Pelodiscus sinensis: one gene and its partners. The protein of the gene in region 3 interacts with the protein of the main gene of each other region in a biochemical or structural test. Links are inferred from orthologs where the notes say so. Each region holds a gene or a part of one and is shown on either strand. Other genes may lie near its edges. The genes, in order: ARHGEF7, MAPK12, ERBIN and ATP2B4.

Evidence for each region.
Region 1: the proteins of ERBIN (region 3) and ARHGEF7 interact in a test that uses a peptide from one of them, tested with the Homo sapiens proteins (2 studies listed by BioGRID and IntAct). The link is inferred for Pelodiscus sinensis from reciprocal best matches to the Homo sapiens genes ERBIN and ARHGEF7.
Region 2: the proteins of ERBIN (region 3) and MAPK12 interact in a test that uses a peptide from one of them, tested with the Homo sapiens proteins (2 studies listed by BioGRID and IntAct). The link is inferred for Pelodiscus sinensis from reciprocal best matches to the Homo sapiens genes ERBIN and MAPK12.
Region 4: the proteins of ERBIN (region 3) and ATP2B4 interact in a test that uses a peptide from one of them, tested with the Homo sapiens proteins (2 studies listed by BioGRID and IntAct). The link is inferred for Pelodiscus sinensis from reciprocal best matches to the Homo sapiens genes ERBIN and ATP2B4.

Annotation. Positions count from the first base shown.
Region 1 is NC_134711.1:239,396,904-239,404,623, reverse strand, and holds the start of ARHGEF7 (rho guanine nucleotide exchange factor 7), read left to right. Parts: upstream 1-4,706; 5' UTR 4,707-4,927; coding exon 4,928-5,092; intron 5,093-7,720. UniProt on the Homo sapiens protein: Acts as a RAC1 guanine nucleotide exchange factor (GEF) and can induce membrane ruffling. Functions in cell migration, attachment and cell spreading. Promotes targeting of RAC1 to focal adhesions. May function as a positive regulator of apoptosis.
Region 2 is NC_134711.1:37,391,871-37,399,869, forward strand, and holds the start of MAPK12 (mitogen-activated protein kinase 12), read right to left. Parts: upstream 3,015-7,999; 5' UTR 2,789-3,014; coding exon 2,673-2,788; intron 2,477-2,672; exon of another isoform or gene 2,199-2,476; intron 1,660-2,198; coding exon 1,530-1,659; intron 1-1,529. UniProt on the Homo sapiens protein: Serine/threonine kinase which acts as an essential component of the MAP kinase signal transduction pathway.
Region 3 is NC_134716.1:89,980,215-89,988,150, forward strand, and holds the start of ERBIN (erbin), read right to left. Parts: upstream 3,005-7,936; 5' UTR 2,322-3,004; intron 2,296-2,321; exon of another isoform or gene 2,047-2,295; intron 1-2,046. UniProt on the Homo sapiens protein: Acts as an adapter for the receptor ERBB2, in epithelia. By binding the unphosphorylated 'Tyr-1248' of receptor ERBB2, it may contribute to stabilize this unphosphorylated state.
Region 4 is NC_134737.1:8,689,762-8,696,906, forward strand, and holds the start of ATP2B4 (plasma membrane calcium-transporting ATPase 4), read right to left. Parts: upstream 3,010-7,145; 5' UTR 2,416-3,009; intron 1-2,415. UniProt on the Homo sapiens protein: Calcium/calmodulin-regulated and magnesium-dependent enzyme that catalyzes the hydrolysis of ATP coupled with the transport of calcium out of the cell. By regulating sperm cell calcium homeostasis, may play a role in sperm motility.

The DNA of each region.
Region 1 (7,720 bases), on a different chromosome or scaffold from region 3:
TACCGCAGGCGTCCGGAGCAAAGCCGCGGAGCACGGGGGCAGCGGGACAGCCCAGACGCGCTGTGGCTGTCCTGCTGCCCTCGGGCTCTGTGGCTTTGCTCCCCATCCCCCTGGTCTGCAGACCAGGGGGACGGGGAGCAAAGCAGAGCAAAGCCACGGAGCACGTGGGCAGCTGACAGCCCAGACGCGTCTGGGCTGTCCGCTGCCCGCGTGTTCCGCCGCTTTGCTTCCTCTCCCTGGTCTGCTGGAGACCAGGGAGAGGGAGGGCCCCATTTGTAACTGCGGATCCGACATAAGTCGGATCCGCGTAACTCGGGGACTGCCTGTACAAGACAGACACAGGGGAAAGAATAGATGAGAATGTGCAAATGAAATAAATGAGTGATGGTTTGTCAGTGTCATAGAACTAATAGAATATTTTAACATTTTAAACAATCTTTGGGTGGCTTTTTGTTTATTTTAGTCTTTATTTTTATTTGTATTAACTACATTATAGGGCAATGATAGGAGGGATTGGATGACTGGAAGATTAGCTAAAATGAAAAACATAAAAGGTGAGTGGAAAGAGGGAGGGAAAAACAGGAAGAAGCTGGAGGGCAAGATGGAGATGGGCATAGAAGGAGATCAGAAGCTGAAATGAAGACCATATGAGGATCTGCAGACCAGGGGGACGGGGAGCAAAGCAGAGCAAAGCCGCAGAGCATGTGCAAGAAAAACCCTCTTGAGCAATGCCGTTACACCTATTACTTTTCAGGAAGAACAGCATTGCGCAAGAGAGTTTTTCTTGCGCAAGAAGGGGCAGTGTAGACGCTCCTCCTTGCGCAAGAGGCTCTTCTGAAAAAAATGGTGGCTCATTAGGTATGCAAATGAGGCTCGGCGATATTCCACGCTTAGCCTCATTTGCATATTAATCGCGCAAGAAGCCTCGAGTGTAGACATAGCCTTTCTGTTTTATATGTTGTTGGAAACTATGCTCACAGGTTTTCCAGTTAGTTTGGCCATCTATACTATTTTCTGAACAATATCAAATATTCCAATATTCTTCTATTGCTTTTTTGTACAGATATATATTATTTAGTTGCTCTTAAATGGTCTGTTGAAGGAATAAGTAGAAAAGCAAAAGTGATATAAAATTGAATGCTAGCATACATTTTGGAAAAGTTATTAAGTGGATTGTGCCCATGAAAGCTAATGATACCATCTGCATTTTAGTTATTCTCTATGGTGCTGCAAGACTATTCGTTGTTTATTAAATCGCATGTTTGTCAGTTTAAGACAATCTCTAACTATAAAGGATTATGAGGAGATGTAACGCAGAGGGCAGACTATACAATATTTGCCTGCACTTCCCTCTGAAGCTGCTGCTGCTAGCTACTGTTAGAAACAGGATACTGGACTAGACAGACCTTCCGCAATTGCTATGTTTCCTGTGTGCATATAAAATGAGTTTAGCAGCAACATATAGCAAAGTGTGTTGGGCCACTAATGATGCAGCCAATCCTGCAATCACATGGACCTTTTCTAGGCTAGGAAAACAGATTGTTTTTTAAAATAAGTTAGCTACCAAACTTTGAACATAACTTTGCACCTTGTGTGGCCACTTCAATACTTTCAAAAATTTTGACCTTAAGTGCCTTAATAGGGTCTTGTCTAGACAAGGCTTTAAGCACATGGATAATTTCAGTCACAGAAGTAGTTTAAGGGTACGTTTAGACAGCTGGGCCATTTTGGGATACCTGAAATAGCTATTCTGCATCATTTAAATGCACCCGTTATTTTGAAATATTTTTCAAAATAATAGGCATGCTATTTCAGTATCCCTGTAAACTTTGTTCCACGAGGGTTAAGGAATGTGTCAAAATAGTGCATTGTTTTGAAATTTGGCGCTGTATAGAAATAATTAGAAATAATTTCAAAATACAATTGAAATAAGATAGGCAATTTGCGTAGCACAACCTAACTGACATAAATGGGACAAAGCAACAAATACATTATAAACCACTTTGCACAAGTTCATTTGCAAAATATTTGTAAGCACTTTACACTGGCTTAGCAACAACTACCATAAATTATAATTGTGGAAAGTCACAGAAAGAAAATCAGTGAACCATATGGCAGACTGTAGACATGATGCCTGGAAATGAACACAGCCAGGGAAGCCAGCACTTCAGTCACTGAACATTGTTTTAATAATTGGCTCATTGCTCATATAAACTGCAAGCAAATGAATAAAATATCCAAATGGGATCAGTTGGACCATGGATATGCTGCCAATGTTCCTAGAAGGAATTCTCATTAAAATGTCCTCCTTTAGCCTTGATAAAACCCATATTTCTGAGATGAGAGTACTTGCAGATAGGACAATGAGGATCTGATGAAACTATACACTTTTTCTCCTGTTTAAACAAAAACAATTTGACCAAAAAAAATTTGACCAAGACAAGTGTATTTTGCTGTTCCTTTGTTCTTGCAAAAATACAAACTAAATTATATATTACTAGAAGATTTACCTGGTGTTGCTTGGGTCCTTAACTCAGTTAATTTTTGTTTTGCTTCATTTAAATCATTGCTCTGGTGTGGGGCTGGGAATGAGAGGTTCAGTGTGCTGGCTGCCCCAGGGATAGAGGACAATCCCAATCCTCTCTCACTACAGCAGCTTGGAGTCAAGTGAGAAATGCTTCTCCATGGCTGCTGCAGTTCCAGTGGGCATAGCTAAGGGAAGGTCACATGTCCCCTGGCTGGGACAGGTCTAGGTTTGTCTGCCCCCTACACTCCCCAGCCAGAGTGAGGAATGCAGCAAAATATGCACTTTCCCCTTGCTCCTTGGCGAATGGGAACAGCCAGCAATGTCTCTGTACAAATTGGGGCAGGAAGAGCTGCAGCTTCCTCTGCCCTCCCTAAAGGCATCTGGGAGGGGTGGGAGGCTTGGGGCTGACCCAGATGGGGGGCGGGTGCACCCCCAGCCATCCCCTTTCACCTGCCTAGTGATTCTGCCTCTTTTCTGTATGGTTTTGTGTGTCCCTGTATGAATCAGTGGGGAGCGTCACCCTTCCCCATCCACACACCCAAACCCTGACCTTGTTTTAAGGTATGATAATAGGAAGCTGTATACCAAATTTGGTGGTCCTAACTCTTATTGTTTAGGAGTTCTTTTTATGCATCCCTGTATGAATGGGGGGGGGGGATTCAGCCCCTCTGCCCCCGCAGAACCAAACTCGTACCTTACTTTAAGTTTAAGTTATGAAAAGAGGAAGCTACATCACAAATTTGGTGGTCCTAGCTCTTACTGTTCAGGAGGAGTTGAACAGACGGATGGACAGACAGATTGCAGAAAGACAAACTTTCTTAAATATATAGTAGATATAAACTGTTTTACAGTACACTATTAAATTTGTGTAATTTGAAATAGGGAGCTGAGTGCAGTTTTGCGGGAAGTTTAGGAGCATTCTGCCCTGGTAATTTTTACAACTCTGTAGCTACAATTTGGTACATTTCAAAGAAAAAAAATCTACTCAAGAATATTTTTGTGAAAACAGTTATCTCTGTAAAGGTGTTTAGAATGGGTCAGCATTATCAAAAGTAGAGAAAGCAACTCAATCCTCTTTTATTTTGGTAGTAGAGTTTCAATACCTGACTTGCTCCTGCCAATTCTGCTCCTTCAAAAAACGGCAGTTTTCTTGTTGGAAGTCTATTAAGGTATTGCACTGGGTTTCTTTTCCTTCTGGTATCTGTATGGCTCCAGAAGTCAAATGTAATAGCAGTAAAACACTTTGACTAGGAAATATCAAATTATACAAAATCGTTATTTATAAATCTGTTCTCTTTTATATGGTGCGTTCATTGATTGCAATGAAGTGTCATAAACCAACCCTACACTAGAGGGCACATAAAACAAATTGTTTGTTTAATGTTAGATCCTTGTTAATGCTACCAAGGTCAAGCACAATACAGAGCAGACCTATTCCTGGCAGATTTTATGAGTCCACTCTGCACTGTTTAGGATCCATCGTGTTACATAGGGAATTAAAATGTTCACTCAGCACTGTTGGCTTGCCGGGCAGTAAAAGAGAATATGGCACACACTTATTTTTAATGCCACAAAATCCTGAAGGATGCCACGATTTGCCAGATCAAATATCCACGTTGCCTCGAGGTGAATAACGCCTATATAAATGTTACCAGTGTTAGCCACCATGTATATGGGGGAGGATTTAAATAGTGTCTCAGGCAGCATCTAAATCTCACCATGGATACTGGCTATGTGTATAAATATGTGCACGGTTTGCCAATGTGTGCATGGCAACACCCATCCCCATGCAATATGTGTGACTCTATCAGACACAAACACATCCCCCCCCACACACACATTGTTCCTGTTACCTAAGCAGGGTTCATTTGTGCACTAGCTCAAACGTTCCCATTTGTATCCGGGGTGCAGAGGCGGGAGGGTGCGATCGCCACAGAGGTGCCAGCGCTCGGCGCGGGTTGCAAAGGAGGCCGGTGCCCGCAGCAGCTGCGCCCTCCACGAGCCGCAGGTCTGTGTGCCGGGCAAGGGCCCCGCGTCTTTTCTTCCCCGCCGGCTGTCAGTGATGTCATGCGGAGGCGGCAGCCGGCGCTGAGGGCGGAGGAGGGGGAGGCGCTGCAGGTTCATGTGTGTGCAATGAAAAGGCAGTTGACAAGCTGCCAAAGCGCACGAGAGGGAGAGGAACCGGACCCGCTGGCTTTCGCAGAGCCAGGCGTCATCTGCAGCAGCTCCATGGCGCGGGAGGCGGCGGCGGCCCCGGCCTCTGCTGCTTCCATGTGAAACCCCCAGCAAAGGGGTGGGGGCGCTGGGGGGGCACCGTCCAAATCCAGCCTCCTCCGGCGCGCGATTGCTTCCTCCCCCCCCCCCCCCCAGCCGCAACGCCTGGCCGCGGCGGCAGCAGCCATGAACTCCGCGGAGCAGACCGTTACATGGCTGATCACCTTGGGCGTGCTGGAGTCGCCCAAAAAGACCATCTCGGACCCCGAGGGGTTTTTGCAATCGTCGCTGAAGGACGGGGTGGTGCTGTGCAGGCTGCTGGACCGCCTGCTCCCGGGCACCATCGATAAAGTAAGTGCACGTTCCTCGGCCCCTTCGCCCCACCCGGGCCCCTTGCGGCGGGAGCAGCCTGGGCGTGTGTTTGGCTCCGAGCTCACCCCCCCCCCCTCCAAGCCCTCTAGCAGCCAGGCTCCCGCACCCAAATAATGCCCCGCAGCGGGTCATGCATCCGCCCTGCAGGGTGTCAAATGCAGCCAGGCGCCAGTGCAACCGCCCCATGTGCAGGAGGAGCCTCTGGCGCTAAGCGCCTCTGCTGTGTAGGGAGGAAAGGGGGCGCCGCGGCGGGGAGAGCGGCGCTTGCTGCGCGCAGCCACAGGGGCTGCACCCGGGAGACGCGTCCCCGCCCGGGTCCCCCCGCGCTGCTTCCCAGCCACGACCAGGCCGGGCAGCGAGCCGCTCCGGGATGAGATGCGCGCACTTTCCTTTGTGCACCGGGCCCCCTCACCCCACCCCTGGAAGCACAGACCGCGGCACGGGCGGCGGGGGGTGCCCCACGTCAGGGAGGCCAAGCCCCATCTCCGCCCCTTCCGCCCGCGCCCCACCCCCACGGGCGGAGCCCCCAGAGCCCCTCCAGCCTCCCGGGGGAGCCTCGGGCCCGCCCCCCACCTGCCCGGGGCAGCTGAGGGTGGTGCGCGCGGTGGCAGAAGCTGCGCGGCACATCCCGCTTCTCAGCCGCATGGCGCCCCGCACAGCAACAGCCTGCCCCCAAACCCGGGCTGCGGGGCCCGCGGCCGCTCCCGGGGCCTCTCCCGGGGCAGCGGCAAAGGGAGCGGGGCGGCCTTTCCCCTGGGCCAGCGGTCGCCAGCCGCGCGGCAGCTTCCTCCAGCGGGCAGCACCGCAAAGGCGCCATTGCCGGGGGACGGAGGAAGGGGCGCAGGCGGGCATAGACTTTCCCGCAGGGCTGGACTCAGGAGGTCACTTAAAAGGGCAGGGAGCCGGGCTAAGGCAGAGCTGCCCCCCCTCCTGCGCGGGAGGAAAGGGGGAGACTGCCCGGTGAACAGGAATTCAGCTGATTGAATACGACTGTGATGTGTTAGATTCTGTACTGGTCTATTAAAAATGGCCAGATGAAAACAATTTCCCAATCAGATGTCTTCCTGCAGGAACCACGTGACGAAATCTTATTTAGGAAATTATTAAGTGTATTACAATGAGTCTTTACAAGAACCGAGGGCACTTCATAACCAATAAGGGTGACAGTGGGGTGTGTACACCCTCACACCCCTCACCTTTATTGGTTATGAAGTGCCCCAAGTGCTTGTAAAGACAGAGTCCTTGCCCCAAGGAATTTACATTCAAAAGCCATGATTTGGTTTCTGTGGGTACACTGAATGGAGAGGTTCTGTGCAGTCATTGTTGATCCACCCCAGTGCAGGATTGGGGCCTAAACAAAGGTGATGATAAGCAGGGAGAGTGGGCCAGACAACAAGCAGTGTAGTGTGCTCAAATGGTGACCTGTGTATATAGGTTTTTGGGGAGAGGAGTTTTTTTCAATTTTTGTGAGATTCTTTTATAGGGGAGAAAATGTCTCTCAATATTAAAATCCTAGCTGTATGTGAAAGAGAAATGTATACAGAATTAGATGTATTTATATCTGTCTTACTTTAGGACATTCCAAAACCAGTCCATATAACTACTGGAATATTAAAAATGTTTCCAACAGCATAGGATGCAATGTGACTGGGTCTCAGTAAACAGTAGAGGAATGTTTTTAAACACTAGAAATAGTTTTCATGTAGACTGTTTGCTTTTCTATTACTCAGGCCTTTTATTGTTCACCTATCATTCAGAACAGTCTACTTTTTTTTAAACTGACATGGCATTACAGTTTTATTTTGTGTTATGTGAAAAATACAAACATAAGATGTGAAATAACTTTTATGTACCATGTACACTTATATACATGTAACCCTTTTTCCAGGTAGTGCCACTAGCATCCAGGGCTAGGTTCAATATGTGGGGGTTCCTCTCCATCCATCTAACACAGAACTGGCTAAAGCCCCCAACCCGTAAGATGGGAAATTCAAACAACACCCTTGGGTACTTTTGAGAGGCAGTGCTTCCCCATTGCAAGCACAGAGTCTGAGTGCAGAAAAGAAACCTTTAATATAACCTTTAATAGAGGAAAGGGAAGTAATGTGGTATTAATTTGTGAAAACACCACAAACAGGGTTCATAATCAAAACCATGAGTAACAGTCCCACCCCAAGTAGATTGGACAATGTCCTTTTCCTCTCAGGTTCTTAGGCCCAGCAATGTAAATGTCCCCTCCACATACCCAGCCCTTTTCTGCACCCCATTCACAGTTGCTGCCCTTGGTCAGGGCAGACCCGGAGTTCAGAGGTGCATCCTCAGAGTTCACCTCCTATCCTGAGAGGGGTGGAGGTAAAGAGGCATCTTACTCCACTGGTCACTCACCATCCACCTGCTCGCTGCTGTCTGGCACTGCTCTGCTGGCCATTCTTCGCCCCTTGCTGCCGCTGCTCTGCTGGCTGCTCATTATGCCTCTCCATGGCCGCCCTGCTGGCTGCTCATCGTGTTGCTGCTGCTCATGGCATCTTCCACTGGCTTGTGGTGGATTTGACTCTGGGCCAAACCTAGTGATTTCAGCTCTTGGCCCAAAGCACAGTCCAGCCACAA
Region 2 (7,999 bases), on a different chromosome or scaffold from region 3:
CATGAATTTTAACATAGTCAAAAATGAATCTGAGATTTCCTCTGAACTCCTTTCCCCTGCTCCCTATTTTCTCCTGCTGTTCACAATATTTCTATCCTTCCTGTCCATCAGGCACATAATTTGGCTGTAATTTTTGACTCCTTCCTTCCCTCCAATCCTCTCTTCATTACTGCAGCCCTATCCTTTTCCACTTCCCTGACACATTACCCTCCTCCAATCCAGAGCAAACACAGGTGTTACAATCACCTTCCACTACTCTGATCACATCCGATCTTCACATTTTCTTTGAATCTCCCTCTAGTTTCCCTTTTCCACTTCCCTTATATCGAAGTGACTAAAATTTTCAAGAAGCAGCTAAATGACATTTTCAAGTGACTAAGATCTTGTTTACACTTGAAATATGACAGTAGTACCAGTGCAGCACTTGAGCTGTGTCACTGTATTGCTTCAGTGTAGACATCATAGCAAGGGGAAGGATTCTCCCATTACTGTAGGTAATCCACCTCCCCAAAAGGCACCTCCCCAAAGAATTCTTCCGTCGACCTAATGCTGTCTATACTGGGGGATTAGGTCATCTTAACTGCCTTGCTGAGCTTCCCTGACCATACCTGGGGCATCTGTCAAGGAGGGACAGGCCTTGCCCATAAGGTATTTCTTGGGCAAGCTTTGTCCTTGTGCTCTGTCAAGGTTGGGTGCAGTCTCACTGCACAGTCCATGACCTGTGGCAGTGGAGCTGCACAGTGATCTCCCATCTCTGTGCAGCCAGTAGCCAGAGTTCCCCACTGTCATGCTGGGGCCTCCACATTTATTTGAGAAATAAAATTTGCAGAATTTTGCAGAATTTTAAAAAATTGTGTGCAGAATTTTTATTTTTTGGTGCAGAATGCCCTCAGTAAAACAATTCTGCCTCTCCCTATTTAATCACTCATCTTTTATCACTTTCCTTCATCCCTGATAGTCCAGCCTTGATTGCTGCTCCTCACAAACCATCATTTTATTCTCTTCCAGATCACCATGGAGTTAATCCTCAAAGCTACTCACACATTCCGCCTCTCCAACAAGTATTCCATCACAGGAGACAGGCATATGCACTGTGCAAGTTACAATGTATATAGGTGTACATGCATTGTGTTTATAGATTTGTTTGTACATTACAATAGTGCCCAGAATGTGGTAGGCTTTGTAAAGACAGATAGAAAAAAAACTATCCCTCACAGTTTAAAATCTACAGGATAGCCATAGACAAATGCATGCAAACAGTATAGGTTAAAGTCACTTTTTGACGGCTGCTCTCTAATGGCACATACATGCACTCTCATCATCACTATTTTTTATGCTAAATACATGGCTAAAAATCTTTGTTAGAGCTAAATTACTGATGCTGCGGTGCCAGGGCATGTCTACCTTGGCAGATTATGGGAATACTGGAAGTATGGGGGACAGTAGATCAGGCACCATGCATGGTGAAATGTATGCATTTTGCTGTGCAAGCTGCAGTCTTGAGAGTATATGCTAACAACTAAACTTACATTTTCATGCTTCATGTGTTTCAGGAGGCGTAGTTCCCGATAGGCTCGTTTGGCAAAGAGTTCAGATTGAAATGGACGGTACAATTTCTTGATGGCCACTTTGATGCCACTTCTTCCATCAATAGCTGAGCTTTAAGAAAACAAGTATAGAGTTTGTGAGTGAGGATTGGAGTGATGCTGGAAGTCCTGACACGCAAGGTACATTGAACAATAAGTTAGAGGACTCCAGGTGTGGGGCTCTGCTCCGCCTTGCCATTGATTTGCTATGTTACAGAGGCAAAGTCACATAACCTATCTGTGCCTTTGTTTATCTTACTGTAAAGTGGGAATAATAACTCCCTAAGCTATAGCTTCAGAACTGGTTGGACACCATGAAAATAGACCATTCTTCCTAGGCAATTCTGATGAGCCACAGTAGAGGTCTATAAAGCAATGTCTGAACAGAGGTCAATCAGCTCTCATACTGTAATAAAGAATGGAACATTCTGATGAAGTCAAAATGCAAAAAAGATAATAGGGAAATGCAGTTTTACTGGATTATGTAACTGTGGAACTCACTGCTACAGGACACCGCGGACTGCAAGACTTTAGGGTAGCTAGGAAAGTGCTTGCCTATATCCATGAATGGGACCATGCAAAGTTACACAGAAAGGCTAGAAACTCTCATGCCTCAGGTGATGAACTCAATGCCCTGCCCCCTGGCACTAAGGAAGAGCTTTTCCGGGCAGGATCGCAGAACTGTCCGCTTTGGGCTTTCCTTCCAACTTGCCCTTCGTTGCAATGTGAGCGCGGAGGTACCGGGCGTACGCCTTTCCCTCGCACCGGAGCCGGCCGGGCCGATGTCGGAACTGGCTGCAGTGACTCCGGCACCGCGGGGAGCGGTTCCGGGCCCCGCTGGGGGCGGAGCAGCCACAAAGTTGGAAGGAATTAAAGGGAAAGTGGCCACGCTTCCCCCGCGAGCCAGGGACCCCCCGAGCCGCCTCCCCGAGCCCTTTCTGCAGCGCCAGGGCGGGGCGCCAGGCAGAGAGCAGCCCTCTGCTAGCCCGGGCGCGCAGCGCAGGCAGCTCCCGCCCAGCCCTGTCCTGGCCGGGGCGCCCTGGGCAAGGCGCTGGGAGGGACCCCCTGCTCCCCTGCCTCACTCACCACACAGCGCCGTAGGCTCCGGAGCCCACCGGCTGCAGGTCCCGGTAGCGCTCCCGCACCTCCCACAAGGTTTTCGTGATTTCCTGCCGGTAAAAGCCTTTCTTGGCGGAGGACATGGTGACTCGGCCCCCTGTCGGCGCCTTCCAACAAAGAGCCCCGAGGCGGAGAGAGGGGCTGCGGCGGCGGGGCTGGTGCGAGGGGCTGGGCTTGGAAGCGCTCCCGGGGTGTGTGTGTACGTGTGGGACCCTCTCTTAGCGGGGATTGAATGTGGCTCCGGCTTTCTCTTTCCCCGCCTCTCCTCTCCCCTCCCCACCTCCACGCCTGCCCTCTCGGAGGAGGAGGAGGAGGAGGTCCTGTGGGAGTCACACTGAATTCCCCCCTCCCCCTCCGCATCTGGGGCTGCCTGCTTTGTCACAGACACATAACTTTCCTGCCTGCGGTTGCTGCCTGATGGCGAGGCTGGGAGGGTCTCAGCCCCTGGGCTAGGGAGGATCTGCTCGCTCTTCTCAAACCAACTCGAGATCACGTGGTGAGATGTCGCCCCGCACCCCGAAAGGCCCCCCATTTCTAGCCTGTTTCAAGGAAGCCTGTTGTATTCGAAAGCAGCTTTCTAGCTAGGTGTGATCTCTGAGTTCTCTGAAAAAGGGAGGGTCTAGCTGAATGGCACACGCTCTTATTTACAGAGAGTGTGTTGGGACATGCAAGCAACAAGACAAAAGAAAGCAAGGTTTGCACGCTGCATTACAGACAAGACCCCGGTGAAGAGGGGTTACTTATATGAGGCCCCAGAGCCAATGCTGCAAACTGGTACCTACCCACTAATCCAGTTAGTTGCCTATATGGAGCCTAGATGTTTGTCCCAGTGAACAGTTTGATAAACATTACACTGACACAAGTAATCAAAAGCAGCATGGTTTTGCAGTAAAATTTGGTATATATTTTAGTTCCATGGCTTTTGTAAATGTTTTTTGTCTCAAAAAAATAAAATACACTTAAAAGGCAACGTCTTGTATGCACATGAAAGAACCCAAGGGTGGCTACTTCCATCTCTTTTTATCTTTGTCAGAGCTACTATGGTCGATTAAGGGGATGAAGGAACATTTGATCAGTGGAGAGTTATTGTTAATTTATTCCAGTGGCATCTAAAGTCTCCCACCAACTGGACTGGGGCCCAGTTGTGCTAAGCACTGTGTGGACACAGAATGAGGGTACATCTACACTGTGGAGTTTTTCTGGAAAAATGGGAGTTTTTCTGGAAACACTACACTTACATCCATGCTGCTATTGCATTCTTTCGACAGAAAGTCAAAGGAATGGAGGGTTTTTTCTGTCAGCGGTATACTTTTTTCTACAAGAAGCCTTTTTTCGAAGAAGCTTTTTCCAAAAAAGGTGTGTGTGGTCACGGAAGAATGTTTTTTTGAAAGAAGAGGCCTGCAGGAAAAAGCACAGGTGCCCTGGTGGCCACTCCATCCACAGTAATCACAACTGAAATGCGAGATAGCGTTCAATTAAAGTGGATGCTATCTTTCGAAAAAGCAGATAACTTTTTCATTGCACTTTTGCTCAGTAGACACTCTTTTGAAAAAAGTTTTTCTGGAAGATCTCTTCTGGAAAAGCTTCTTCAGAAAGAAGCTTGCAGTCTGGACATAGCCTGAGAAACATATCCTGCACCAAAGTGAATAACTGAAAAAGTTTGTGTAGATAAACAGATTTAAACAAAAATTGGTGGATCATACAGTGAAAAGGTGTAACTGTCATTAACATTTTTTTCTATTTTTGCTGTCACATAACATGCCATTCTCTACTTCTCCCCAAACCTCTGGCCCAATTGTCAGAGTAAAACTCGTTCACAGTTTCCCATTTCCCTATTATCCTGTCTATATCCCTCCTTCACATCAGCAGACCAGGGAGATGCGGAGCAAAGCCACGGAGGACGCGGGCGGTGGGACAGCAGCGCGTCTGGGCGGTCCCGCCACCCACGTCCTCTGCAGCAAGAAAAGCCGCTCCGTGTCTCCCTGGTCTGCTGGGGGTCCCCCCCCCCCAGCAGACCAGGGAGACGCGGAGCAAAGCCGCAGAGGACGCGGGCGGCGGGACCACGGAGCATCTTGGCGGTCCCGCCACCAACGTCTCCCTGGTCTGCTGGAGGGGGCGCAGCTAGTGCACCCCTCCCCCCCAGCAGACCAGGCTTTTCTCGCCGCTGGTCAGTTTCAACAGCGGCTGAATCTGGACGCCTGGGACAGAGCAGCTGGGGCGCTGCCGGGTTGGTCCCACAGCGCCGAGGTGCGGCACTACTGGACCAACCCAGTAGCACTCCAGCTGCTCTGCCCCAGCCGTGTCCAATTCAGCCGCTGCTGGTCAGTTTCAACAGCGGCTGAATCTGGACACCTGGGACAGAGCAGCTGGGGTGCTGCCAGGTTGGTCCCCGCAGCGCCGCACCTCGGCGCTGCGGGGACCAACCTGGCAGTACCCCAGCTGCTCTACCCCAGGTGTCCCCAAGTCAGCTGCTGCTGAAACTGATCAGCGGCTGATTCCAGGAAGCCCGGGGCAGAGCAGCTCTGCCTCGGGCTTCCTGTAGTCAGCCGCTGGTCAGTTTCAGCAGCAGCTGAATCGGGGACACCTGGGGTACAATATGTACCAGTTCCGACTTACGTACAAATTCAACTTAAGAACAAACATACAGTCCCAATCTTGTACGTAACCCGGGGACTGCCTATATTGTTGCATCAAGTAAGTGCTTACAGTCAAGCTGGTTCTGCAGTATAACTACATACTACACAGTGAAAGTGAACAACTTTGGTACATATCACTTAATATGTAAGTGGAGCCTTATACCTTAGTTCCTCCAGTGCCACAGACACATCAAGCTGTTTAATTCCTCTGCTGTATTTCTTCTGAGGTAATGCCAACGTATGCTACATCCTCTGTCTCTGTCTTGCAAGTGCTTCCTTGATTTTTCTCATGTTCTATTTCTTCACTCAGGTAACCAATTCAGTGCTTGCTTAGCATGTCTCTTCTTATGTTCTTAAGTTATGTTCTCCCATTTTACCACATCATGTGTCTTCTTTCTTTGCTGATATGTTCTAGCATGTCCTGCTCTGTAAGCTCTCTCTCATTTGTTATTTTGTCTGCTCATGAAATGTGTAGTGTCTTCCTTAGCCATTTGTGTTGGGCAGCTTTCAGTTTCAGTTTCTTTTAGCAACTCTCATTGGCAAAGTCTCTGCTCTCCACAGTAGCATGCTCAGTATAATTGTATGATATAATCTGATCCTTAGTTTGGAGTAGAGATCTCTATCAGAATGGTTATGGGTCATATTTCCAAAAGTGGTGTTTCTTTTCCTAATCTTGTAATATCATCTTCATCACAGCCTCCTTTAAATGTCATCACACATTCCTCACATAGCTGAACTCTTTCAACTTTTCAATTTCTTTTCCATCAGTGTACATCTTTGAATCTGTTGTTCAGTTTCCTACCTTCATAATCTTGGTTTTCTATGCATTTACTTTCAATCCAATTTTTTTATGCTTCCTGTTCTACCGCTGATGTAAGGGTAATCCTTCAGTTCCCCATCATGCTTAATAAAGCAATGTCATCAGCAAAGTTAAGATAATGTAATTCATCTCTGCTAACCCATTTTACAGAATCCATGATACCTTTTGTTGCTTGCTTCATCACCCAATCTATTACTAATGCAAAGAGGTTTGGTGATAAAACATACCCTTGTTAGACACCACTCACAATATTGAAACATGTAGGCCTGTATCTCCTCTTAATTTAGGTCTCCTTCCAGCATATAATGTTGATAAGCTTGTTGGTATCACATAATTTCTAGCAATATTCCCCAGGGTTCTCTGTGGACTCTATTAAATGCTTTCTTTAAACTAGAGAGAGTTAATTAAAATGGAGTATTAGTTGCCAACCAGTAGCTTTTTCAATGATCTGTTAAAGAGTGAGTATCAATTCACAGCAGGAACTATCTGGATGGAATCCAGACTTGTAATATTTCATTCACTGCCACCTTCATCCTATTCAGCATAAAGGTAGCCAATTATTTCCTGGGATTGTTAGCCGTACAATTCCTCTTCAGCTTGTGCACTGAATAAGATCAGACTTTTTGGCAGTGCCACAGTGGTACCATATTTCCAGTTTTGTTGCACCTGTTACCTTAACTTGTCTATATTTCATTACAGAGTTTTATTAGCTGTTCAGTCAGAATTTTCCCTCCAGACTTTATTAGTGCTGATTGAATTCTGTCAACCCCAGAATCTCTCCCGTTTAAGAACTTTGGTGACTGCAATGCTGTTATTTCATTAGATGTTATTTGTCCCCCTTCTATTTCTAGCTTACCCATGGAATTTCTCACCAAGCTTTGTGATCATTGACTTTGGTCACGTTAGTATAGAATGATTGCCTTGTTCTTTATGCATTTTCAACAGGTTCATGAGAATCCCTGCTGGGCACCACCTGTGACAGTCTGGTTCTTCCTGATATGTATTTGACTATTCTATGGAGCTGCTTGAAATCTCCCTTGTGCTCTTTCTTCTGCCTCTGCAGCCTTCTCCTGAACCCAGGTTCTTCTATTTTGCCTGCATTTCTTCTTTATTCTCTTGTGTTGGAAAAGACTGATGTCTATCATTGATTAGGGTATTTGTGCTACAGACATTTAAGAGCCATTTGCCATTATTAGTTAGTTAGTTAATATACATTCCATCACTGCCTATGATTCCTTCCCAGCCAGTAGAGTTACTGCCAACTGTGCACTGAAGTTGCCTATCATCAGCTTGATATCATGATTAGGCACATCATCCGATACTTGCTGCACCTGCTCCCAGAATGCATTATTTTCACTGCCAACTGCTGAGTTGTCAGTGCATATACTTGGATTATTATACACTTGACATGCTTTGTTTGCTGCTCTTACTAGTCTGTCTTCCCCAAGCCACAGGTTCTTCATTGTGAGGTTACCCAGGGTAATTCCTATATCACATTTGTATGTTCCTCTTCCTAAGACCATAGCACGATCAGGCTCTATCTTGCCACTCCCTGCCTATCTTGTGTCATTGATGCCAGGTATATTCAGATGGTATTTTTTCATTTATCTTGTAACTTGTACCAGCGTTCCCATATTATACAAAATAGGTATGTTGCATGGGCTGACTCTTGTTACCAATGTGGCCATCTGGCTTTAATGTCTCCAGAACTCACTTTCCTTTCTGCTTTCACCAAAACCTGTCATAATTGAGTGCAGGTGCAGCTCAAAACCCACTGCCCTCAAGTTTTGGTTTGGTTGAATTGTTTCTGTTGCAGTAAAGTTTTTACCTGTATGGGT
Region 3 (7,936 bases):
GCAGTAAGGAGAGGGGGAAATGCCAGCAGTCAAGTAGTCGACTCCACTACCCAATACGTGTAGACTTATGAGGTAGTCAACTACTTGACTAGTCACTTACATTCCTACACCAAAAATGACAATTTAAAGATTTTATTACTTAAGTAATTTTTTATTCTGAAAACACTGCTGGTTGCAAGAAAGAATAAATTCTCTGATGAATACTAAACTATGTTAATGAAATGAACACCATTTTATGGCATAACCACCAGCTATAAGTAGCAGTGAACTGCACTCTCATCATTTAAGGGCCTTATTTTAGCTGCCATAATGACAAAACCAGTTCAAAAAGTTGGTGCCCCAAATACAAGGATCTCTTCTCCTACATGGTACTGAAAAATATCTAGCACATCATCAGAAAAACAAAAAGTCCGAAAAGAAATAAAATTGCATCCATTAGGAATACATTAGTTGACAACTAAATTTGTCATGCTTTACTACATTTTCCCCCACCTTCAGAACCGTGTCATTGTTAGGAATGAAGCAGTGCTTTGGAAAATGATCATTCTCTATAAAAGGATTACTCTATTTAGACTTCATTGCTTCACTGCCAAGTATAAGCCATAGAAGGAAGATGAAGTTCAAATGTCATCTATTTTGTTTAGTTCTTTCAGATGCCCAAGAATAACCTCTTCTGTTGCCTGTGAAGATAAGTCTATAAATCATAACCCAGATCAGTTGTGCATTATCATTTGAAAAAGCTATTTTGTATTGACACAAATCTGTCACTTTTCCACTAAAGAATACTATTACTAAATGAGTCTGTGCTAGATGAATAATCATTTCATCACTACACAAAACTGCCTGATGTTATTTATCAGATCTGGGTCATTTTTAAATGTTTTACTTTCTTAAAATGGGCAAATACATATATAACAAGTATAAAAAGTTCATATAAAAGTGAATATATTTGGTTCTCAGGCACACACGCTTCTCAGACAAGCCAGTTCCATATTCCTAAACCAGGCTGATCACACAACATATCCAGTCAGTACAACTGAAAACACTCTGCCATCCACTTCGTTATTCAAGAATAATAATTTAGACTGTCTTCTATCAAGGACAACATAAACTAGTCCCAAGCTATGGCCTTTAATGCATTCTTTTGAAATCTATACAATACATGAATGATTTTTTTTAGACCTCTCTCAGCACATATAGTTTTGGAACTCCAGTGTAATCAATATCTGGCATTGGCTCTCTGAAGCATCTTAAACCAAGTTGTTATAGGACATCTAGATACTTTGTATAATATGTTTTGTGTTAAATAAAATTAGTCAAGATAAAGTAATATGTAGTAGCCACACTTTTGCAATAGCCTTAACAAGATGATTGTAGTATCACATTGCATTGAGCCTGTGTGTATTCCTATCTCAAACAAATTTTGATTAGAAGTCCCATATAAAGCAATGAAAATTAAATTTGTCAGTTTTTACCCAAATTATACCATATTAATTTTGAGAAGCAGTTCTTATAGTAACTCATATTAAAGTATAGTATCTTCCATTCTTTCGACTACATCAGATTTTACCAGGATAAACTTCTACAGGTTCTAAGTGTAGGTATATGTCTTGCATATGAAAATCATTCAATTTCTGCTATAAGGAAAGGCAATGCAAGAAGTGTTGGCTATCCTGCCCCAGGTATTAAGATAAAATTAAACAAACTAACTCTTCTCCAGTGATGAAATAGATAGCCAAACTCTTCATCTTGAAGAACAGAAGACAAACAACACAACCTTATTTGTAAAGTGAACAAATGATTACAAAGAAAGAAAGATCAGTCGTTCTTTTTAAAGGATGCACATATTAGATGGCGACAGTAAAGGAACCAACACCCTTGAAAGTAAAGGGGGGAAAGCAAATATCTCCTAACTTCTGGATTTCTTTCAAGTAAAATAATTAAGAGCAGTACCCTTTGGAAGTGTTTATTTGTAGAGAAAGGAACTAAGCTGCCGGGCTAACTATTTCAGAAGAGAACCATAACCAGGCAGTTTCACTTCAATACCTCATCCTGCTGAACAAAGAAACTTCTGTTTGAGGAGCTTAAAAACTTTCGATCTCACCAGATTCTTCTTGCAACCTCCATAGAAATAACGATCCCACACACACAAATAACATTGGAAGAGACAAAAGGAGACTCGGGCTTTTTTCAGGCAGACAACACAGCCCAGCAGAAAACTAAAGGCCAAAAACAGGATATCGGAATGAAGCGCCAGCTCCTTCCTTTCCCCTCCCCTCGGCGCAAGGTTTCTTACCCAAACCTCCTCTGCACCCACTTACCTTCGATCGCTGCTGTCTCGATCAGCTTCACCCTACCCCAGCAGGGCCCCTCTCCGTCCCAAGGGGAATTTTAAATCCAACCAAGTTTTCTTCACGGGGGCCGAGCGGATGCAGCCGCTGTTGGTCGGGAAGCAGGGCTGGGGCAGGGAGGACGCAGCACCGGCTTCTCGGCACCCCCGGTCCCGGTTTCAGCGGCCAACCGATCCCGGCCGAGTCACATTCCCCGGCCGCGGCGCTGAAGTTGGAGAATCACTTCCTGCCCTGGGCACGGGCACAGACGGCGAGTCTGCAGCGCCCGCTTCGCCACCGCCCCCTGCCGCCCGAGCCAGGCTGCCTCCTCCCCACACTAGGCCAGCTCCGCGCGCCGAGCCCGCCCCGCCTGCAGTCCCGTCCTATAGAGACTGCCGCATGCAGCCCGGCCCCGCCCGCCCCGCGCCGCTAACCGCCGCCAGGGGCGCGAGGCGAGGAACAGGCAGCGCCCTCCGGCCGGGCGGTGGCTGGGGAACCGGTAGTAGCCGGGCCACGTCGTGCCCGCAGCGGGGCAAGGGGCGCTCACGATACACAAGGCAGGCGGCAGCACCGCCGCACAGCCAAGGGGAGACACTGCAGCGCCGCCGGGAGGGAGGGGAAGGGCGGGCGCGCCTCTGTCTGTCTCTCTCACACACACACTCCCTCCGGCTGGCCGCTAGAGGAAGGCGAGACCCCGCCTGCCTCACTCCTGAGTCAGACCACAAGCCCGGGGCTGAGTGCGAGCAGCGGCGGAGCACAGCCAATCCGGAGCCAGGGCCTCGCGAGGGGCGGCCAGCCCCAGCCAATCACGGCGCTCTACGAGCAATGCCTCAGCAAGTTGCGTTGCATGAAACCGGGAAGCGATGTGCTGAGGGGGGGAGGGGCGGCTGTGCGCTGGGTTGGTGCGGGGGTGGGGGAGCGAGGAACACGCGGGGGTAGGGGCAGGGAAAGGGCGCGGGGCAGTGACAGGAGCGGAACGAAACGAAAAGGTAGAGGGGGAGGGGCAGAGGACGGGGCTGGCGGGGGTGAAGTGGAGGGGGAGGCGGGCGATGAAGGCTCGCCAGAGGTCAGCGTAACGTTCCCTTCGCTGTTTGTCTCTCACGCCCACAGCGCTCGCTGCTGCGTGTGTGGAAAAGCGGCAGCTCGCAGTCGTTGATGCCCTTTTTCTTCCTCATTAAGCAATCGCCGCGTGGTTTCGCTGCCTGTTTTTAGTGTAAAGGTGTCGCTGTTTCTTCTGCTTGTTGGCAGCCAGTGGAATGCAGGGCGCGGTGGCTCGCTTGTTCGTTTAGAGACCGTATCAGTTAAGACAGAGTCAACCTTGAGTCTGGAATGAGAGTTGTTTTCTTAGGGGTAATCCGCTCAGCATCATAATATAGTAATTGCACATATTACAGTCAGTCTTGTGCCAGGCTTTTGTTCTCTTGCACATAACAACCTTGTTAGTTATCACTCCAATGTGCCATTTATCTCGAGTATTTTTATTGGGGAGTAAGGGCACAGTGCCACATGGTGAGTTTCCAAAAAAAAAGTATTAAATTAAATTACTTAAATGCTAATAATAGTGTCATGCTATATTTGAGATCGTGGATACTAAACTAGGAAATTCAAAGTTGTATTTCTTATTGAAACATTCCCCCTTTCTACATAAGCAGCGTTTCACTAAATATGCTATTAATTTAAATGTTTCATAACATGCAACGGTATGTGAAATGTAGCTAGCAGATTTGTTGTGTGACACTTGATTTATTCATCTGTTCATGTTAAATCTCAACAATATGTGGTGGTAGCTGTTTTTGCTTTTTGTATCCTTAGTTTTTTTAGTGAATCTGTTACTTATGCACCATGCCAGATTGACAAATCTGGAGTCTAAAGTTCTGAGCCACAGGACAGACAGCACTGGTAACTGCAGGATGGACTTCCACATGCTGATCACCTTCTGTTCTGTAATCATGTTCTGAGGGGGCCACTTCTAAGGATGTAGTTTTCACACTCATTTAATCTTTGGCTACTTTAATGGGACTGTGAACAAATGTGCCAGTATGAATGGTGATGCTGTATATTTAATCCAGGCCCATTAAGAATTGAACTAAACCCAAACTTTTTATTAATGCTACTGAACACTCATTATACAGTAATGATTTGTAGTCACAACCTGAGCCACATCTACATGACTAGAGACCTACATCAGTATAACTATGTTGCTCAAAATCCACACCCCTTGGCAATGTAATTATACAACTTAGTTCCTGTGTAGACAGCACCATGTTGATGGGAGAGCTTCTGTGAACATGGCTACTGCTCTCCTGGAAGTGGTTTAACTACACCAACAGAAAACTACTTCCATCAGCATAATAGCATCTCCACTAAAGCACTACAGCTGTGCCCCTGTAGCATGGGTGGCCAGTAACAAAGGCAAGGGAAGGTATTACCGTCCCAAAACTGCCTACATTGCCCAGCTGCCCTAGAGTGGCAGCCCAGTGGCCAGGGATGACTGGAGCCACAGTACCAGGAGACTAGCTCCCTGCCAGCCAGAGAGAGCTGGGGCTGTAGCACAGGGAGCCCTGTTCCTCCTGGTAGCCAGGAAAGATATGGTTTGAGAGCTGGAGTTGGCCGGGGTTTGTTTAGGGGGAAGAATTGTTTAGGACAGTGGTCCCCAACCTTTAGAGGCTCCCGGGCGCTCGGGAGGTGGGGGCCACTCATGCGCCGGGGGCGGAGCCGTGCGTCCGGGGGCACGCAAGAGGACTGGGATGCTCTTGCACCCGGCGTTTGCCCTAGGGCCGGGGCCGCCAGAGCGCCGTGGGCCCGGGGCCGGCGCTGCCGCCCGAGCAACGCACCTGGGGCCGGCACCGGCGCCGCTCGAGCACCGAGTGCCCGCAATGTGCCCCGGGACTGGAGCCGCCCGAGCGCCGCGCACGCAGCGCCAGTGTGTGTCGCGCGCTTGGGGCCGGCGCCTCCTGTGCGCCGGGAGCGGGGCCAGCCCAGGTTGTCAGCGGGCGCACACGAATGCCCCAGCAGGCGCCATGGCGCCCGCGGGCACCGCGTTGGGGACCACTGGTTTAGGAGGTATTGTCGCAGGGGAAGGGGTATGGCTTTTGTTGGGAGGGGCGGGGCTTGGGCTTGTCTTCCCTTCCACCGCTGGGCCTTCACCCAGTACCCATGCCCTGTAGCACTATACATCAAGACAAGCCCCTTGAAGTAAAAAGTTTATCATTGCCATTCTCCTGAGATTGATCATTAGATCCATTATCAGTCCAGTTCAGGAATGTTACAGTTACCATTCAGTTCAATGAAGGGGTTTGAGTGCTAATAGTTTAGCTGAGATTAAGTGAATATGCTCATATTTAAATAAATGCACTTAAATTTGATTGTACCTTCAAATGTTTATTTGAATATTTTCATATGTAAATAGGAATTACATATTTTGCTATTTAATGTTCAATTATTCAAATATAGCAACATCTGGACTTAAGGCAATATGCATTAGGTTGCACTCATTTTGTTCCTACATTTTTCTCAAATAATCCCGTCCTCTGTTTAATAAATATCTGATAACAACTATGCCAAATTTTACACTTATAAATAAAGGCATTGTAAACAAATTAGGAAGAGGTCTCTTCCCTCCCTCCCCCAACAATGAAACCTCTATCATTTTCTCATGTTCATACAAGTATCATGGATCATTTGATGATTGTGTTCTGTTCATTCTCTCTGGGGCACCTAGCACTGGCCATTGGTGAAAGACAGGATACGGGAGTGGATGGAATTTTGATTTCACCCAGTATAGCTGTTTTTAGGTTCTTACTTCTTTTTCTTCAGAACAACTCACCTTTTGTCTAAAACTAAGTATGACACATTTCATGCGCCAAAGTTAAAAATAAGTCTACAGCGGCAAGTTACTGTGCAGTAAATCAGTCCCCAGCATTGTAACTTTCTCAGTATCCACACTGGCAAATCATAATGTACACTAGTTTGCTGTAGGTAAACCAATTTTGCAAACAGCATAGAGATTGCTGTGCTCTGGATAATGCGTTTGGGCACTAGTGCGGTGAAGTACTGTGTTATGATTAGTCTCCAGCACTCTTCTCATGCTGCCTGTTCTTGCCTCTTTGGACATCGCTTTGAACTCTACTGCCTTGCTCTCTGGTGACCAACCCCCAGACCCATCCTTTGCATTCTTTTTGAGATTTGAGTCCCCTTTCTGTTTGCTCAGTGACATATGGTGTGTTCTCAGGGCATCTCTCCAGCTAGCCATGCACCAGGAGTTCCCCAACTTGGAACCATTCAAAGATGCTGTTTAGTGTTCCCTCTAAGATTGTCCAACCGTGAACGGAGTGAATTTTGGCTTGTGCATCAATATTGAGGTCGTGTGCTCGATCGGATGTGTGCCACTATGGCACCCAAGTTATTAACACACACACACACACACCCAGCTGTCAGAGCAGAAATCTCCTTCTCCCCATGCCATGTACCATGTCCTGTTCCCCTCCACCAGAGCAGACCCTGTCCCCCCAGCCTTGTGGTAGGTCCCTTTCCCAGCCACTGAAACAGACACCACCACCCCGCCCACCTCCTCCCCACCATGCAGCAGGTCCCGTGCCTGGCCCCAGCTGCCAGAACAGGCCCCGGCTCCCCATGCCATGTGGCAGCCCAGCCACTGAAGCAGGCCTTCCTTCCCTTCCCCTTCCCCCCCCTTCCCCTGCCATGCAGCCATGGCAGGTCCCAACCCCAGCAGCTCCCTTACCATGCTGGCTCAGCTGGCCCCACCCGCTGGAGCAGCCAGCTGCCATGGGCATGCTGCCACACAACTCTCCAGAGGAGATGGGCAGGGGGGAGATTTTTTTGTATGCGGCTGCGCAGATGCGCACCTTAGCAGGAACTATGGTACTGTACTACATCAGCATTTGGGGAGAGGAGGCAGTCCAGTTCCAGCTGTGCTCCAGCCGTAGGAACTATAATACCTACAGGCACATTTCTTGATGCATAACTGAAAGAGGCTACAACCAGGATGCACTGCAGTGGAGAATCAAAGGGAAGAAGCTGCAAAATGCCACACTACAATGCATGGGAAGCAAACTACCACTCTGGTTCTGTGCCCATGACCTACAGATACTACAAAGAGCTGGATGATATACTTGGAGATGACCCTGCCTCCATTCTGAAAACCCTCATGGACACCTCGAGGTCTCAGGGACCATATGACAGTGGACTGAAAGAGGAGGAGGAAGTTGTGGCCAACTATGCTGAGGGGAAGAGGGACCCAGAACCAGAGGAGGACTTGACCTCCATAGAGACTTTCAGTCAGGAGCTGTTTTGGATCATCACCTTATCGTGATGGAGAGGCCTGCATGTTCCAATAACTCCCACGAATGATGTTGCCTGGAGTCATGTACTCCCTTAGGGTCACCCATGGTAGAACATTCAAAGGCAAGGTTCAAGACAAAGTGTGATCCAAGTAGTCCTCAATGGCAGAGCAGACAGAGGATAAATGTACAATGGAGTTGAAAGTGTTGTGTAGTGTAATGTTACAGCAGCTGTGAAGGTGGATGAAAGCTGCAGCAGGTAGAGGATCTCCAATTGTTGTGGTCTGTATGTCATTGGTTTCAAGC
Region 4 (7,145 bases), on a different chromosome or scaffold from region 3:
CTCCCCTGGAGAAGCATAGTAACAGATGGGAGTCTCCCCGGCTGGAGCTTTTCTTCTTTCCCACCTGCCAGGAGGCTGGCAGGGAGTCAAAAAGGATTGCCTGGGTGCTGCAGGCCACCTGATGCCCTATCCACCCACCCCGCTGCACCAAGGATCAGAAGGTTCCAGTCCTGCAGTCTGACCCCAGCCAGCCTGCAGGCCCCAGGAGCATGCTGCTGAAAGGGTGGGACCTTCACTGTTGCATGGCATAGAGATGTGCCCCCTGCAGCCAAATCTGCCCTCTTCCCCCCGCCCAGGATAGTTTAGCTCTGCTGCCAGCACAAGCCCAATGCCTCCTCTCAGTCACAACTGCAGCCCCCCCCCAGAATGGAACCCTGTCCATGCTCCCCACTGGGGGTCAAGGAGGCACCCCTCCCCTCTGCAGAGCTGGCAAGATCCTGGCACCTGTTGGAAACCAGGCAGGGCCTGTTTGGGGGTCTAAGCTGTCCGCTGTGTCCCTTGTCTTTGGGCCCCACCGAGCTTCGTCCTAGCTCTGTTCTCAACAGCACAATTCCCCCTCACCTTTGCGGGGGGCTGGCAGAGTAGCCTTGCCCTCCACCCATTCCTCCCGGCGGCGCCCCCACCTGACCATCATTGCACCTTCACGACCCTCCAAACCCATGTTGGAGAGTCAGAGGGGAGGCAACCTGCTCCCCGCTCCAGACCTGTCGGTTCCCTGAAAGCAGCCCCCCCCCCCATCCCACCTGCTGCACACAGCCGGCCAGGCAGCTACACGGAGAATCCTGTGCAAGCAGGGAGGGTGGCACCTCCCTGATGAATGAACCCTGCAGAGGTGGATCCAGCTGACGCCCTCCCCAGCACCAGGAGCGTGCTGGGAGCACATGTTGCCAGCACTGCATCCCAGCCAGACCACGGCGCCCTCCGCTCCCCAGGCAAATCCCCCTCTAGACTAGACACCAGTGGGTCACTTAGGGGAGCACAATGTGCTGACCCCACCCTCTGCATGCCAATGAGCTAGCATTGTGCCCAGTCCCAATCCTCTATGGGCCTGGCAGCCCTACTGGCAGGGGGGAGGGGGCGACAAGCAGAAGGCACAGGGAAGAGACCCCCGCGCACACACACCCCTTTTCAAGTGACGCCAGGCTCTCCGGCAGGGCTGAGACAGACCCGCTATTGTGTGCCCAGTCCGTAAGGCAGGTTACTGTGTTACAGTCCAGGCTGCTGGACACACAGGGCATTTGTATTACCACCCTGCCCAGGCTGGGAGCGCACCAGCCACCGCCGCGGTGCGCACACACAGCCGGAGACAGCCCCTGCCCCAGGGAACTTACAGTCGGATCCAGCCAGACAGGCCCCCACATGCAGGTGAGCGTCAGTCCTCGCGGGCTAGGCGCTGCCACAGCGGCAGGATTGTTAGCCACACGCCTGCCACCCAGATCTCCTTGGAGAAATCTTTCCCCCCATGGATGGATCTCTTCCCTGCGGAATCAAGCCCCCCTCACTTCCCTGCACTTCCAGCGAGAGGGTCCTAATCCAAGATAAATGGGGGGAGGGGGATGCAGTAGAAGGAAACCCGAGGGCCAACAAGACAAGAAAATCCTGCTGCATCAGAGAGGCAGAGCTGAGTCCAGGGAAGGGGGGAGCCCAAAGGGAGAACTGGGGAAAGACAGCAAGCCTAGGAGAGAAGGGGGGGGACTGATCTGGGTGGAGGGGCAAATAAAGGGGAAAATCCCCCAGATCCTCGAGGGGCCTGATTCCCGGGCTTGCAGCGCGTTGTGGTTCCATTAGACAAACTGGTTCACAGCCCCCCCGGCCAATAACCCCACTGCCACCTCCCAGCCTCATTCCACACACAAAACCTTCCGCTCTCCTTCCCCCCCCCCCTCCCGGGTCTCCTGGAAGCCCCTCCCCAGAGCAGGGGGCATTTCTCCCTGGGTCCCAGCCCTCTCCACTTAAGGGAACTCCCTGCATTTTCCACGGCTAATTATAGCTAGCCCACTCCGCAGGACGCCCGGGGGCTGCTGTTGCAGGCATGGCCGGGCGAGTCACCGGCTTGGATTTCCGTGGAGAAAGGAAACCCCCCTCCCCCCTCCCTCCCGGCTTTTCGTGTTGCAAGGCGCGATCCGGGAGCAGACACACACGCCACCTCCCTGCCCACCCCCGGGCGATCGCTGGCTCTCTCCCCGCTCTGGCTCTCTCCCCGCTTGCACCACGGAGCGAGCGCGAAGCAGACACGGAAAATGTATTTGCAACAGTTTTCCAGTCTGCGCCTGATCCTCAGCCAGGGGGAGCCCGCCAGCGGCCCCCCCCCCCTTCAAAATAAAGGCGCCCCCTTCCCGGACCCTGCGGGGAAGAGCAAAGCTCAGGCCCGGGCGAAGGGGAAGGCTCCAAGCACAAGCAGGAAAAACCACTCACCCTGCTCCTGGCTCGGAGAGGCGACGCCGGCGGATTCCTCCAGCCCGATTTTTACAACCCACCCAGCTGGTCCGAGTTTGGCAGCGGCGGGCTGGCGAAGTAGCGGCGCCAAGCGCAGGCTGGGGGGGCCGCAGCCATGCGCTGCTCAAACACACACACAAATCTCAATTCATAGGCTGCGGCTGCTCTCGCTGCTTTCCCTCCGCCTCCAGTAATCCAGTCTTCCCCGGGCTGGGAAACTCCCCTGGATTGCCATGGGAGGGAAGGGGTTAAAAAAAATCCCAAACTCCTGGATTCGCCGCCCCCCCCCCTCGCCTTCTTCCGCCCACCCCCTCTGGCTTGGTGTTGCTCTTCCCAAAGTTTGGAGGGGAGCAGTTTGGAGAGCGCCCCAATGTCCTTTAGCGCTGAAGGTCTTTCGGGAAAGCAACGCCGATCCCCGCTGCAAGGCAGCTAATCAGCAGACCGAGGGGTAGGGGCCGGCTTGGGCTCGGCTCCCCCCGCCCCTCCTTCGCTCCGTTTTCAAATCGCAGCCCTTCGCGAATGGAGCGAGACCGACACGAGCGGCGCTAGCTGAAGAAAATGCTTGTCATGGCAACGCCACTGCCTAGCCCAGCCAGCCTCGCCCCATCCCAGAGAGGAGGAGGAAGTCTCTTAAGGTGGCTTGCACAGGCAGGCCAGCCCCGCTGCTGCTAGGCGCTTTGCTGGGCTGGTTTTTAAGGGGGAAGAGGCAAAAGGCAGATCTGCCTTCTCCCCGCGTTTCCACCCCACTCTTCCCTAGATCCCTACCTGCTTCTGCCTCTGAAGCCAGCTGGAGAGATCAAACAGTGCTGAGGGGGTGGTTGTGGGGTTTATTATGGGTGGGTGTTGCAGAAAGCTCTTAATCTTTAAAGAGGGGACATTGGACATTTATTTCCTGCCCTCTCTAGCCAGGCCTCCTAACTTTACAAGCTCAGAGGAAACAGGAGGGGGAAAAAGTGCATTTTACAGCAAAATGTTAAAATATTTTTACCCCCCCCCCCCCCCCCCCATTAGCAAGTATCCCCTTAGGATCCATGGGGTAAGGACCAGGACTAGCAGTTCACCCAGCTGAATGAGTTATCCACAGTGTTCCCTCTAATATTTTCCAGCCGTGGGCAAAATAAACTTTGGTATGTGCACCCACACGTGCAGATGCACACCACCCATAGAAAAAGGTGCTGCTGGCTGCATGTGGCAGTGGGTGCTCTGCTAATCAGCCAGGCAGCCACTCAAGTCCTCAGCTTACAGGGAACATGGTTATCAGCAGTGGGCCTGCAGTAGAAAAATGTGAAGCAAGTTCAGAATCTGGGTGTCCAATCCTGCAAGGAGACTAGTGCAGCTTCCGGTGTAGAGACCATTGCAAGATTGGGGCATCACTTTCATTACTGATGAGTTGGGCTTATCAGCTTGGCCAGTGAAAAGAAAGCTAGTTAGTTTCAGTTTTTTCTTGTTAGTTTCATTTGCACTTTCATGCCCAAGCCAAAAGTTTGCTATGCTAACAGTACTAGACAACAATTGAAAATGTATACACCAAATCCTCCCCTGCTTTCTTGTAAACCAAGAGCTAACTCACGGAAACAATTCTGTTGATCTTAGGCCTGGTCTGTACAAAATACTGCAATTTGCTACAATGCCTTACTGGAGGATAGCTAGTGTAACATGTTTTTAAAAAGGGTTCCAGATACTGACATTACCTAGTACTGATGTTAGACTTGACAGCCTGTAAACTGGTTGAAACTATAGTCCAGAACAGAATTATCAGACAGACGAGCACAGTATGTTGGGAGAAGAGTCAACAAGGCTTTCATAAAGGGAGATCACACTGCCCCCAGCCCTTAGCATTCTTTGCGGGTGCCAGGAAGCATGTGCACAAGGGTGATCCAGTAGGAATAGTGCACTTTAACTTTCAGAAAGCCTTTAACAAGATCCCACACCACTAGCACCTGCTTAGTTTGCTTAGTCTTGGATAAGAGGCAAGCTCCTCTCATAGATAAGTAACTGAATAAGAGATAAGAAACAAGGGGTAGGAATAAATAGCCAGTTTTCCACAACGGAGAAAAGTAAATAGCAGGTTCCCCAAGAATCTTTACTTGGACGAATGCTATTCCTCATATTCATAAAGGACTTGGAAAAAGGGGGCCAACTTTGAAACAACCATTTCCCTGGCACTGGAAAAGGTTCAGAAAAAGGCAACAAAAACGATTAAGGGTATGGAATGGCTGGCATATGAGGAATGATTAATAAGACTGAGACTTTTAGCTTGGAAGAGAGACAACTAAGTGGGGGGATATGATCAAGATCTATAAAATCATGCCTGATATGGAAAAAATGAATAGAGTTATTTACTCCTTCCCATATCACAAGACATAGGCATCACCAAATGAAATGAATAGATAGACTTTTTTCTTTAAAAAAAAGGAAGTACTTCTTTGTGCAATGTACAGTCAACCTGTGGAACTCCTTGCCCGATGATGTTGTGAGATCCAAGATTATAACAGGGTTAAAAGAGAGCTAGATAAATTCATGCAGGTTAGGTCCATCAATGGCTATTAGCCAGGATGGGTAGGAATGATGTCCCTAGTCTCTGTTTGTCAGAAGCTGGGAATGGGCAACAGGGGATGGATCACTTAATGATTCCCTGTTCTGTTCATTTCCTCAGGAACCTGTTATTGGCCACTGTAGCAGACAGGACACTGGGCTAGATGGATCTTTGGTCTGACTGAGTATGGCCATTCTTATGGTATAAGATTATTCAAAACTTCAAAGGGCTCTCACACACATTGGTGACCGGTTCAGTTGAACACTGATCAATGCAAAGTAGTGTGTGTTTGGAAACATAAATTCCAGCTACACAAAGTGCCAATTCAAAATTAGCAGTTACCACTCAGGAGACGTTAGAGCTCCTGGAGAGCTCTCAGAAAACAGCCATTAAATGTGCAGCAGCAGCCACAAAAAACTAAGACCATTAGGAGCCAATAACCAAGGGACAGGTGAGACGACAATATAATAATGCCGCTAAGTGAAGCCCATAGCATGCCCAGGTCCTGACTACTGTATGTATGCAATTCTGGGTGTCTATATCAGAAAGATACTTTTGAATTGGAAAGGGTACCGAGAACAAATTAGGAACATAGAACAGCTTCCATGTTGACAGACATTAAAAAGACTCAGACTGGCAGGGGACCTCACTCACTACACTGGCACCTTCTTGCTCACTGTCTTGGCTGTTAGCACCACAGGTCAGTGCACCCTCTTCTTCCGGATGCCTTGCCCACCATCCTGACTGCTTCCCAGACCCACAGCACCCTCTTATGCACTGTGCTTCTCCTTTCCAGGGAGGGTTAGCACCTCAGTGCTCCTATCACTTCCCCAGGTGGGTAGGGGGGAGAAGAACTAGACCACCCCTGGGGGTCCTGGACCAAGAACCCTGGAGCTAGCAGCCTCCACTTGCCTCTCAACAGTGCAGCTTCAATGTCCTGAGACACTTTCCCACAGTCCCAGCACCTTCTTCATCCCCATTCTTAGGCCTTAAGTCTGAAAGTCCAGCCAGCACTCCCAGTCCCCCCCACAGCTGCTCTACCCTCCTGCAGTCCTCTAGGAACCCAGCCCTCTTCCTTGGGATCCTAGCACCACCTGCAGCTCTTTATATATGGGCCTGCTGGGCCCTGATTGGCTACTCCCCACACAGCCACTTTAGGCTGCTTTTAACCCTTTCTCTGCCAGCGTGGGGCACTTGCTCCATCAGCAACCGTTCAGCTTAGAAAATGGATAGCTAAAAGGGGGATATAATTGAGGTCTGTGATATCAGGAAAGGTGTGGAGAAAGTGAATAAGGAAGTGCTCCTTCATATAACACAGTGTTTCTCTACCTTTTTTTATAAAGTATTCCTTTTTCAAAAAAAATTTTTTGTAAGTACCCCCAGTACCTACAGTTTTCAGATACATAATTTTTTTTCTACTATTGCAACACATTTGTTTAAACAACTTAATCGTAGCTGGGCGGGTAATTACATTGGTAGGTGTAAAAAGTACAAAAATAAAAATGCGCTGTAAAACTTAAAACAAAAATTCAGTTTTCTCCAAATTTCACTTGTGTTGACGTACCCTCCAGACTTCTGTCAATTACCCCCTAAGGGTACTAGTACCATTGGTTGAAAAACACTGATATAACACAAGAACCAGGTGTTAGTCACCCAGGGAAATTAAGAGGCAGCACAGTTCAGACAAACATAAGGAAGTATTCCTGTGCTAAACCTGTAGAACTCGTTGGCAGGGGATTTTTGAGAGGCCCAAAAGCAAAACTGGGTTCAAACAGGATTTGGATTAAGCACCTGGAGGGTAGATTCCTCCATGTCTGTTACTGCAGCTGAGCAGAGATGAACCTCCATTCTCTGGCTATTCCCACAGCTCCAACAGACAAATGCTGGGTTTGGATGACAGGGGATGGATCACTCAATAATTGACATATGCTGTTCATTTCCTCTGAAGCACTAGCCACTGAAAACAGGATACTGATCTAGATGGACCATTGTTCTGATCCAGTATGGCCATTCTTATGTCCTTATCTAGTTAAACTGGTGTAACTTTTGTGTGTGGACACTCTTAGTCTGGTTTAAACATGGTTTGGTTTAGCCTGTTCCTCTAAACTGACGTAAATTCAGGCAGTGCAGCCTCTATGTGTTTTTGTTTTAATAACACTTTGTTTTATAGGAC